Saccharomyces cerevisiae S288C: one gene and its partners. Changing the gene in region 1 together with any one later gene gives a genetic interaction. Each region holds a gene or a part of one and is shown on either strand. Other genes may lie near its edges.

Region 1 (5,792 bases):
CGTTGTCACCGCAAGCTAGTAGAAAATCTTGATGCATGAAGTTACAAATCTTCATAAAGTTGATAGAACATAGTTCAGGTATGCTGTTGAACTGTGTATCCTTAAATTTCACATATGATGAATTGCGGAAGTTTCTTACATCTCCGTCATCTGGTATTATCACGGGCAATAAGGCGTGACATATTTCTAATGACGAAACGTTCAATAGTATATCGAAATTATGAACTTCGACGCATTGACCGGCAGCCAGGAAGGAATAACTCCCATAAGTGACGAACAAATTGTTCTTGAACTGCAAACCACCATAAGCAAACCTATTTGTGTATTGAAAAGGTGCGAACTCTAGTGGTATCTCTTGAACAAGTAGTTTTTCGTCCTGTGGCAATAGTAATTCAGCTGGATTCAAAAGCCTTGATGGTCCCCAGACGGGTTCTAAGTTGGAAAATGCAGATTTAGTATCCTCCAAGAAGGCTTTCTTGAATGAGTAAGCAGGATTTGGGATTTTCCATGAAGAGTCATGTTCTTCTAGGTTGTGTAATCGTTCTTTAATAAACTCCACGGTTTTTGGATGAAACGAATTGCAACTGGAGTTTGGCCACTTGAGTTGATAATATTTCTTTAACGTTATTATCTCATTCGTTATATTCCAGCCACCAGACGCCAGAAATACTTCTGAGTCAAAGCACTCTCTTGTCGATACTGCCCTTTGTATGATGGCCCGAGACTTAAGCCACCTTGTAAAGAGATCATCATTTTCATTGGGAATCTGAGGGGGCATTATATTCAAAACCAAATTTTCAAGCCTAGAAGTACCAGTGCCTCTTGATTGCGCTGTTGATCTTCATTACTATGGTGTTTTTGGTGTCTTGTATGGTTTTTCCATGTTTTTTCCCTGTTTTCTTTTCAATGAAAAACTAAATTGCATGTCTCTCATAATAGAAAATATTCAATATTAACAAAATGTGCATTCTAAAGGAAATTACTATAAAAAATACAGGCATGATAAAAATATATGTACACAAAAATTACGGGCTAGTACCTCACCTCGTAAGAACCGGCTTTCGATATATATTTAATCCATTTTACAGCACGATGCTTACTGTCTTTTCCAGAAATGGTAAAGTATCGTACGACTAAGCCAGAATTACTGAACATCATGACCTCGAATTCCAGGGATATTGGAGGTCTTGTCCATTGTTGAAGATTCAATTGAGTAGTATCACTTGTGGACACAGTAACTGCACTTAAAGTGTTTTCCGTCAACCCATTGTACTTGTTGAACCTCCAAATCATTGCATTTTCTTCTGGCACAAACTTACAGTGGCCATTAGAGACACTTATCTTACAATCCACAGTGCTTGGTGGAACGGGTATATGTAGTACCACATCTTTGGCGGAAAGTTTTCCAGGAAATAAAGACTTCAATGTTATCCTGTAATCAATCTCGTTATCTCTTGTAGAATGTGTAACAATAGGTGTAACCTTGAACGGCAGGTTTATGTTATCTCGTACATGATATTTCATCAACTCCATCGAACCGTCTGGTGGGACGAATTCAATGATATGATTTCTGTTAAATTTGTCAAGTGAGACACATTCGTGAAACTTGCAATCTTCCAACAAAACACTACCGGCAGCAGCTTTGGGAATGAAGTTCTTGTTTCCAAAATCGCTGCCAGAGTGACGCTGCTGCTGTGCTAACCATTTCTTCTCGTCTTCGGACTGCATTCCCAAAGAATCATTCAATCCAAATCTACAAATAGGGGTCCCACTCAAGTGTGTGGTGATATCTATGGTGCCATCAACGTATGATTTCAAGATAGAACCATCCCTAGATACCAGAATGTTTATCCTCTCATTGACATACAAGAAAACTTCATCCTTCTTGTGTATTATCCCCTTGGGCCTCCAAGTGATCTTATTGTTATCATAGAAATCAGAAGTGGAGTCTCCTTGACCCAGGAAACTACTGCTTCTTTTTGTCAAAAATTTGGGAAAATGTAGTTCTCCTGCTGAAGAAGTAGGAGATGAAGAGGAAGATAATACATCATTTCCATCGGGACTATCTAACAATCCGCCCATATTTCTAACGGGTTTCACAGACATCTGCGCTATAACAGAGTTCAATTCAGTGTCAATTGGTATCCCATTTCCACCCAACATTATATCCAGCATCTCATGCACAATCATGAATTCCTCTTTCAAGGCCTCCTCTCTATCCAATCGATAAGCATTCATCACTGCATCAAGCTTATATAAGAACTCCCAGATCGCCGCACTATTAGCGTTGCTTCTCGTAATGGTTACCAACCACAAATTGTCACCATGCCTCGACCTGATGTGATGGAAAGTAGTTGAGCCCAGTGTCAAAACAGGCGATCTAACATCTAGATTATTGATCACTTGTACTCGGAAGATATCGGATATGGACCGCTTCAACGAGTTCTTGAAGAACTTGTTCAAGACAAGTTCACCTCTCGATGAGTATACCAGCACACCACTAATCATTGCTCACCATAACTCTATGTGATTCTTTTCTCCAACCGTTTATGAAAGGTTTCCACACTTTATCATCAAGTTCTCCTATACTAATCAATTAAGGAAAATATGGCTGTTACCCTTCGACCGCAGTTGAAAAAAATTTTCTATCAAATAATAAATGGCTACGATTAGCGAGAAGGGCTGGATGAGATGAGAGTAAGTTGGTCGAAAGTGACTTTGTTGGAGGTTGCTACGAGGCTAGGAACGCAGTCTGGATGTCAATGAGTAATATTGTTGTTTTTGGAGGGGACTCGCACCCCGAGTTAGTTACTAAGATCTGTGAAAATTTGGACATTCACCCATCGAAAGTAGAATTAGGGAAGTTTTCTAATGGGGAAACGAACATTGCTCTTCGCGAATCTGTTCGTGAAAAGGATGTATATATCATCCAGAGTGGTTGTGGCCAGGTGAACGACACGTTCATGCAGTTGCTGATTTTAATCAGTGCCTGCAAGTCCGCTTCTGCCTCGAGGGTTACAGCCGTAATGCCATATCTCTGCTACTCGAGACAGCCAGATATTCCATATACTGCCAAGGGTGCTCCCATAATTTCCAAGCCTAAAGAAAACTATACTTTTGAATCGCATCCAGGCACACCCGTGTCATCTTCTTTAATGACGCAAAGACCAGGTGCTGAGAGCTCGTTGAAGAGTTTGGATAGTGCAATACGATCAACTATCAACTTAGAAAATCCTCAACCTATCAGAACACCAAACAGCAGTGCTACGGCGAATAACAATTTCGACATCAAGAAGACGCTTTCTTTTTCAAGAATTCCTATGATTCCCGGTGGTAAGTTACAAAATACAAGCAATAGCACGGACGCTGGTGAATTGTTCAACGCTCAAAATGCAGGCTATAAGCTATGGGTAGTACAAGCCGGTACTTTGATTGCTCATTTGTTGAGTGCTGCAGGTGCTGACCATGTGATCACAATGGATTTGCACGATCCACAGTTCCCTGGGTTTTTTGACATTCCAGTGGATAATCTCTACTGTAAACCCATTGCACAAAACTACATCCAGCATCGCATTCCAGATTATCAGGATGCTGTGATCGTTTCTCCAGATGCTGGTGGTGCAAAGAGAGCTACGGCTATTGCAGACGCCTTGGAATTGTCCTTCGCCCTAATTCATAAAGAAAGAAGATCTCAGTTATTGAAGGGCCCTCCAGATGCGACGTTAACCTCTGGTGGTTCGTTACCAGTATCTCCAAGGCCATTAGTTACTACTTTGGTTTCCTCCCAAAATACTACTTCTTCAGGTGCCACTGGGGTTGCGGCCCTTGAAATGAAGAAAACAACTTCAACATCTTCCACCTCGTCGCAATCTTCTAATTCGTCCAAGTTCGTTCAAACTACCATGCTTGTTGGCGATGTTAGAAACAAGGTGTGTATTATAGTCGACGACTTGGTGGATACTTCATACACTATTACAAGAGCTGCGAAATTGTTGAAGGATCAAGGATCTACCAAAGTTTATGCCTTAATAACGCACGGTGTTTTTTCCGGTGATGCGCTAGAAAGAATCGGCCAAAGTAGTATAGATAAGTTGATCATTTCTAACACGGTTCCTCAAGATAGAACACTACAGTACCTAGGTAAGGACAGAGTGGATGTTATTGATGTCTCCTGCATAATCGGTGAAGCAATTAGAAGAATCCATAACGGTGAATCCATTTCTATGTTGTTCGAGCATGGATGGTAGTGGCATTGATGTGTTCATTTTTTTATTGATAAAAATAGGGGAAAGTGTCTATATATTTTGCGTATAAAATTCTCTACATTTTTTTTTCTTTGTTTAGTATGTGTATTGAAACATTTTATTTATAGGTTAGAGAAACAAAAAAAAAAAAACTGCAATTTCTTCTTGTATGTCTGTAGAAAAAATTTTAAGCTGCTCTCCCCTGTGATTTCATGCGTCTGGGACTAATAAGAACGGTGATGATGGTTATTATGATGCATGGGCAATTCTTTTGGCATAATCTCTTCATCTTTTTATGGTCGACGAGGAGCCGTTGGCATCATAATTGGAAGTTCTTGACAAAGAGTCGGTGAAATTAGAACGATCATTGTTGTTAGCGTTTTCGTTCTTAAATTTATTCTTAATACTGGAAAATAAACTTGCATTTGAACTTGAACTTTCTCTATCGTCACTTCGATTAGAATTCTCTTGATTGATATTCTCGTTTCCATATTCACTTTTGGATTCGTCCCAATCTTTTGCGGGGCCAATGATGGTTTTTGGAACACCTTTGACTGTGATGACAGATTCCACAATACCATTCTTCGTATTTTGGTAAGAGGTTGAGATTGTAACGTTTTGATTTTCGTTGCCGTGATTCGCGCCAGAATTTGGAATTGATATACTATCAGGGCTATTTCTCGTGGTTTTAGTCGAGGTAGTAACTTGAGTTGGTTGACCCGACCGTTGAGTATGGAGAACAGCTTGGCGAGATAGCTCTGCATGATCACTTAATAGTTGTTGTTCTTCGGCGGAGAGTGATTTATCATTTGAGTGTGGTGCTGGAGAAGGCTCTTTGCTAGAATGAGGAGTGTGTGTAGTAATGATTTTCGGAACATTGGCAGGCTTTTTAATGGTAACAAAAGATTTATTTACGTTCAACGGGTTGGACGCTAGATTTGAAGGTATGATGGTGCCATGTTCCGTCACTTGTGGAGTTGGAGACAATACAGCGTTGGACCTGTCGTAACCATCATTTGACTTCTGCTTCCAAGACTTATTATTCAAATCTTGCTGTGGGTGCTCGGATGGGTGATTAGAATTGGATGGAGACAAGAGTGGAGACGATTCATCAGCTTGGTCAGCAGCTTTGTGCTCCTTGTGAGAGCTAGTGTACAAATGATGCAAATAGGAAGTAATGTGCCTTTTGCTCAAGGGCCCCGGTTGTTGTCTCATAATATGCTGATGCATGTCCACAAAGACATCAGACTCGTCCACGATTTCTTCACCGATCAATTCTTCAATGACATCCTCCAAAGTTAAAACACCAATAGCGCCATGCGAGGAGCCCGGCTCTTTACTAACGACGCACATGTGAGCTTTCCCCTCCTGGAAGTAATTCAGAATATTCAAACAAGATGTGTTCGGGGAAGTTTCTGGCAACGTGGCTAGGGGGAAGTGGGAGATTGGGAGGCAGTCATCAGGATCGTAGGAGATAAGCACCCTGACAAGTAACATGCCGATGAAGTTGTTTGGTTCATTGGGCAAAAAAATCGGGATTCTAGAAAA
Region 2 (3,251 bases), on another chromosome or scaffold:
TTTAAGTTATTTCGCCAAAGACTACTCCTTGGGCGCTACATTGAACAACGAGCAAATAACTACCGTTGACTTCTTCCAAAACGTCAACGCCTTTTTACAGGTCGGTGCTAAGGCTACAATGAACTGCAAACTACCTAACTCCAATGTCAACATCGAATTCGCCACTAGATATTTGCCTGATGCATCTTCCCAAGTTAAGGCTAAGGTGTCCGATTCCGGTATTGTCACTTTGGCTTACAAGCAATTGTTAAGACCTGGCGTCACTCTGGGTGTCGGTTCCTCTTTCGATGCTTTGAAGTTGTCTGAACCTGTTCACAAGCTAGGTTGGTCTTTGTCCTTCGACGCTTGAACGTATATATCTAATATATATATGTTCACTATATACCATATATGTGCTCGTTCTTGTTTCCATTTTTCTACTTGATCTTTAGACTTGTTGTTTTATTTATACAAATATATTAATGACAGAAAATATTCTTTGTAACGGCTGGTTCTCATAATCATATTGGTTGCTTGGCAGTGAGAATAGACTCACTTCCTGACTCATCATCACTTCCTTCCGCAGCCTCTAGCTCATTCAAATACAAGCAGTGTTTAGCAAAGCCAGGGATAACGTTTCTCGGTATTTTCAGATTGGTTTCGAACATTGTGATAAACTCCAAATCTACTCCATCTTTCATCCCACCAGAAAATAACCCGTACTCTTGGCATATACCTGCAGTGGACCATCCCTGTAACAACTTTCTTATGATTCCCACAACTACACCAACACGGTGCTTGCCCTTATTGGAATGCACTAAGATGGGATAGTTTCTGACATCCAGCACCAAGTGCAAGACCTGGTTCATTCTTTCTTGAATTCCTTCATCGCGGCTTGAATCCATAAATATGTGATAGTATTTTATCTTTTCTGACTCCAGGAAGCTTTGATATTCTTCGAGAGGCCTATCTTTATCGCCAATATATATTATGGTCTTCAAGTGTAACTGATGCTTGATGAAACTATAATTTAACGGCATCGGGTATCCCGATCGATATAACGATACATCCGTGCTCACCACTGGCGAAAAATTTAATGGGGGTATGTATTTCATAGCATCAAGAAACGTGCACTCTATTGGTATTTTGCCTTCACTTGTTGATATATCAACTAGACTTTAATATCTTAAGTAAACTCTCGCTTTTTTCTGATCTTTTTTTTAATTCTGGAAAATTCAGAAGAAAAAACAAAAATTACTGAAAAATCTGGGCTAGCACCAAGAGCTATTCATGGATGAATCACTAAATGAAAAAGGGTCTTTACTTTGCATGCTACCACTCACATGAATAGTATAGGGGAACCTGGTGACAGCCTCCCTTCTCACTTTCTGCCGATTTCCAATGATCACTCTGCAGAATTCTTTCATGAAACCCTTAATATGATTTCCTAAAGCGGGAAATAGTAAACATATCATAAAACATTTGTAAAAAAAAAAAATGTATAATTAGAAATTACTAGATTTTCAATTATATTTAGCAGCTATATGGGTTAATAATTTATAATGTTTATTAATAACATACCCACACTCTTGTATTATAATCAACTAGACTCATACCTTGTCAAAAGTTCAGAAAGAAACATCGGCAGAGATGGTTAAGAAAAACTTTATCCCGTCTGTATCGCTGGTCAGAAGAGACCTTCCTACTTTAGTTACTACTACAACTAGTTCAACCGCCCTGTCAAAGCCCACGTCAAGTGTAGTGTCCGAAACGAGTTCCAAGTCCCTTCCATCGTTAACATCTTCGGCTTTCTCAACTTCCAGTGGAGCAACATCCTCCTCATCACTAATTGTCGCAAGTATAACACCCCCATCTACAGCAGGAAACCCATTTATTTTAAATGCTGCTGATAAACCAAATGGAACTGTATACATTGCTGTGGGTGCTGTCATAGGTGCCATTTTTATCAGTATTCTTATATGGTGGTTAGTGTCCAGTTATTTGTCTCGTCGTTTCACAATGACAAATTCTTATGCAAATGATAGTAAAAATTTGTACAGGGGACACCACAAGCATAGTTCTTCTTTACAAAGCAATCCCTTTGACATCAATGATGAGAAATCATATATGCAGGATGATTGGGATTCTATGAGCCAATTAGAATCTAGCCAATACGAGGATGCTGCCTCACCATTCAACCCAATTCAGGATCCGTTCACAGACAACAGAAGATCCTTATTTATATCTCCTACTTTACAAGTGTCACAATATGAAAAAAGTCATAGCCGCCATCAATCAAAAGACACTAACATTTTTATTGACGATCCATTTTTATACGTAGGTACCTATCTAGAAGAAGAAGAAGAAGAAGAAGAAGAGAGAAAGCTGAACCTCAATAGACCACAAAGAGCAGCGTCACCTGAAAGAAAGGAAAAGAAAATTAACTCAATGGAAGGCTACCATAAGAGAAACCAATCCTCCTTGGGCCTCATACCAGTCGCTTCTGCTACCTCAAATACTAGCTCTCCTAAAAAGGCTCATAAAAGACAGGCGCCATCGATGTTTTTGGATGATGTCCTGAATGGTAGAGAAATAATCTAGATACCCTGACATCTAAGATACATGGTTGTTCAGGTTAAACATTTTTTTTTTTAGTCCTTAAAAATTGTGTAATTCAGTACCAAAAAAATCGATGTTTGCTTTTATTCTTTTCAAGGCCATACGGTTCTAACGCACCAGTAATCATCAGTACATCTGCCAAGATATATCTTTATCATATTCTTGAAAGGCCCGAAAATAACCCTCCAAGAGATAAAAAATTTTTCTGAATGGTAATTGGAAAGATAAAATTCTGTTGTGATCTTTGAACTACTTTATCTGATCTGGTCGTAACCATCAACAAGGCGAATTATGCATTCTTTGTTAAATATATACATGTGATCTTTCCGTACATATCTTTCCGATCCTCATGAAACACCGACACAGCTGCTACCAAAATGTGTGCAGGTATCTACAAAATTCTAACCACAAGTACTGAGTTAAAGAAGGAGCTAAGCAATCATGATCCGCGTATAAATATTAAACACTTTTGCCTTGAAGTGCTGTCTTCATAAATGGAAGGTGACAATATAGAAGGGTCTTGACCGATGTAATTTTCAGCAAGTAACAAAACTCACAATGAACAGTTTGCTAAGAGCAATGACAATCATCGAAAGAAGTTCTTGGCTTAGTGCGACTTACATCGTTGTAAATTCTCAACTATAATTAGCGTT
Region 3 (3,448 bases), on another chromosome or scaffold:
TTCTTGCATTAATAACATCCATATAAGACATCGGTGAAAGTAGCCGTGCTAAGTATTTTAATGTCTGCTCATTTTCGCAAAATGATTCTGTGAGCATTGAAACTATGGCAGATTCAATCATTCGGGCTTCCACTATAGATAATTGCTCATGTAATTGGTGTGATCCTAAAATTACTTTTTGAATGAACGTAGTGGTTATTATCTGCATTATGGCTTGCGTTGCTCCTGTCCTTCTAGTATAAAAATAAACCTATCACTTTTCTTAAATATGCTGCAATTTTTCCAGAATGCCTCCTTGCTGTTGATAAATGGCTTCCAATCTTCGCCAATACTAGAATGTGACCGGCTCGTCTCTTTTGTAAAGTCGATGTAATTTTCGTTGGACTTTTCAATGGCATTTGATATTGAAAAAAATGATTATCAATGCTGGAGGGCCCGGCTAAGACTTAACCCTGAAGCTTCTGTCTTTACAAAATATTATATGAATTTATCCCTGAATTTTACATACTATGAAATTTTAGTTTTGGCAAAGAATTTGACACGCTACTTACTCTTGCAACTTTTTCAGACGCATTAGCATCATCAACACGCAACTCATCTTTTGATTCTGTGGCTGTCCTTGCAATATATCGCACGGTAATCCAGGGAACTTTATCCTTTATATCCAGATCGTCAACTTCGATTTCAGAGTTAAAGTTTTCAATGAAATTTCTTTCATGAATATTGATGCTGGAATTATACACCAAAAACTCATTTAGTATGGATACCGTACTCCAATATGAAAACTTTCTCATACATGCTACTACGAGAGATATTATCAATTCACCATTCGTACAGTGCATATAACAGGGGTAATGCCCTTTATCAATCAGAAATTTAACGCATCGTACTACAACATCGTATTCAATAGGAACTGTTTTCTTTTTCCTTTTAATCTTGGGTTTGGTCTTGTCTGCCTTTCTTTCACTTTGACATTTTATATGAATTGTCTTAATGTTATTTTCTTCACAAAACTTTACCATTAGAGGATCAGTGCTCAAAGGTTCTGGTGTCAAAGATAATATGTATTTCAATCTAAGGGTTCTCAGGAATGGGAGATTGATTTCTCGTGGGTAAGATCCTCTATATAAATTTGGCTGTACAGTCGAAAATTGTAACGGAGTCACTAGTGTCATTTTGATACATATAGCTTATTCTAGATGTGTGAACTGGGTATTCATAGCAATTGTGAACCCATAGTTTATATTGGTACTCCTTTCCTTCTTAACAGAGTCTCTTTTTTTCTTTCGCATTTTTTTTGGCCTTACATCAAATAGCGGTGATTAATGATAAAAAGCACTTAGCAGAAGTCATGCAACAAAAAAAGAACACAACATAAGGGTACAGCTAGTGAGCTCCATTGCTTCGACGTTTTAGGATAAAATGGAATTCTTTTATGAAGAACAAGTAGCTTGTATCGAAGATGATAAAATAAGCAACTCTCATACCAAGGAAACTGGATCAACAGAAAACACTGAAAATAACGAACTTCAGAGCCGAGATGACAAAACAAATGAGGCCTTCCAAAAGTTAGAAGAGGAAGTCAATAAACGATATGAAAAGACTACAAGTGCATTCAAAAAGTTAGTAATCGAGAAAGATGACGGAATTGAAATTAACTTGCCAATTAGCAATGAAACTACAGAGACTGCACAAAAGTATTTGAAGAAACTAGACGAGAATATTCACAGCGTGGAAAGTCTAGCCCAGTCATATTGGAGCAAAATGAAAACTAAGAATTTTTGGTCTGGCTTCAGTAGCTTCGATAATGCTGCAGAAAATGACTCTAATGACAAGGATGAGAATTCGAAAGAAAATGAAATTGCTGTGGGTGGAAATAGAACAGAAGCCGAACTAAGGACATTATCTAAAGATAAATCGGTTTATTTAGACAATAAAATGGATTTGCAACTGGACCCGTTTGACGTGGATGAAAAAACTGAGGAGATATGTTCTATTTTACAGGGCGACAAAGATATCTCCAAATTAATGAACGACATCGTACCCCATAAAATCAGCTATAAAGATTTCTGGCACATCTATTTCTTACAAAGAAACAAAATTCTAGATAAAGAAAGTAAAAGGAAAGAAATATTGTCCAAAAAGGAAAAGGAAACGGAGGAAAAAGAAGTTGAGTGGGATGACGAAGAAGAAGAAGAAGATGATGACAAAGTAGAAGCAGTAGCTGACAACAAATCTAAAGGGGAGACGAAAGTTGCTGTGTCTCAAGAGGGATTGAAAGATGTTAGTGACCATGTTGGCCTCGCCAACAAGGATGAGAGCAAGGACGACGACGACGATGATGACTGGGAATGAGTGATTTTTTTCATATAAAAGATATATGTAATGCTATAAATATTTACATACTTTTCATGACGTATTATGGTAGAAAGGAAAATCATCAATCCAAGAGATGCACAGGAGGAAGACAAAATCTGGGCGTGATCTCATCTTTACACCTTCTAAAAAAAAGTTCGTTTGTTACCGTTAAAATAAATCATTTGTATTTAGGGTTTTTTACTTTGACCTTAGATGGAAATAATGATATGCCATGTTGAACGGGAAAAAAAGTGTATAGACAACGGTTTTCAGTTATTTATTCAAATGAATCAAACACCGTAGACGCGGTGATAAAACAAAACGTATGCATTAGAGTTAATTGCATCGGCTTTGTTTTTGACAGGTTTATATTTGGTATCATCAAAATATAGCCATCCCTTCTTTAATCCCTTTTTCACATAGGCTGTATAATGACCACCATACAAAGTACCAAAGTGGCATGCTACACCATATAATTCATACTTAAAAGGTGGTATTTGTCCCCTTATTGGTAGTTCATCGTCATTAACACCTGGAGGAAAAACCCCGTCAAAATCATTGGCCCAAAATGGAGTCAAGTCCAACAAAAAAGGGTATATGACGAAGTCATTATTTTTGTTTAATAAATTATCAAATCTCTTTAAATGGACTATCAGATTCCTCGGTAATCTCGTTATTGTCAATTGTTTCGTGGAGGGCTGCCTTTTTTCACAATGTGGGCACAACCATTGCTCATCCACTTCCAAGTTCTCACATTTGGTGAACTCTCTGAAACAATCTTCAATGGTAATATTATTTCGGGAATTTTTTTTAGGAATAGGGATTGACAGCACCGTAAAAGGTTGGTATGTTGTCGAGGTATGACTACAGACTTTACATTTTAGTCGTGAGGCGTATTGTCCCTGAAATAAGTCGACAATAACACTGAAATCAGTAGTCAAGAATCGTTCCCACTCAATTGACGAGGCAATTCGCAAAGACAGTTTTTCTCTTCTCGCCTCAGCTTCTTGAGAAAGCTCCTTCAAAGGTGGGTTTGAACCGCATTGGTTCAAGTCTTCATGAAGACCATCTAGAAGGAATTGGCAAAACT

What was found. A genetic interaction does not mean that the proteins touch.
Region 2: mutations in PRS5 (region 1) and OCA2 together harm fitness more than expected from each alone (negative genetic interaction), as found in Saccharomyces cerevisiae (2 studies listed by BioGRID).
Region 3: mutations in PRS5 (region 1) and OCA6 together harm fitness more than expected from each alone (negative genetic interaction), as found in Saccharomyces cerevisiae (2 studies listed by BioGRID).

Annotation. Positions count from the first base shown.
Region 1 is NC_001147.6:209,488-215,279, forward strand, and holds PRS5 (ribose phosphate diphosphokinase subunit PRS5), read left to right. Parts: upstream 1-2,756; coding exon 2,757-4,247; downstream 4,248-5,792. Other genes in the region: CRT10 (Crt10p), read right to left, coding at 1-778; APM4 (Apm4p), read right to left, coding at 1,033-2,508; MAM3 (Mam3p), read right to left, coding at 4,530-5,792.
Region 2 is NC_001146.8:515,092-518,342, reverse strand, and holds OCA2 (Oca2p), read right to left. Parts: upstream 1,095-3,251; coding exon 501-1,094; downstream 1-500. Other genes in the region: porin POR1, read left to right, coding at 1-349; YNL058C (uncharacterized protein), read left to right, coding at 1,630-2,580. UniProt on the Saccharomyces cerevisiae protein: Required for normal growth in the presence of linoleic acid hydroperoxide (LoaOOH).
Region 3 is NC_001136.10:582,291-585,738, forward strand, and holds OCA6 (protein-tyrosine-phosphatase), read right to left. Parts: upstream 1,176-3,448; coding exon 501-1,175; downstream 1-500. Other genes in the region: RTR2 (putative protein-serine/threonine phosphatase), read right to left, coding at 1-208; DOS2 (Dos2p), read left to right, coding at 1,423-2,355; ubiquitin-specific protease DOA4, read right to left, coding at 2,649-3,448.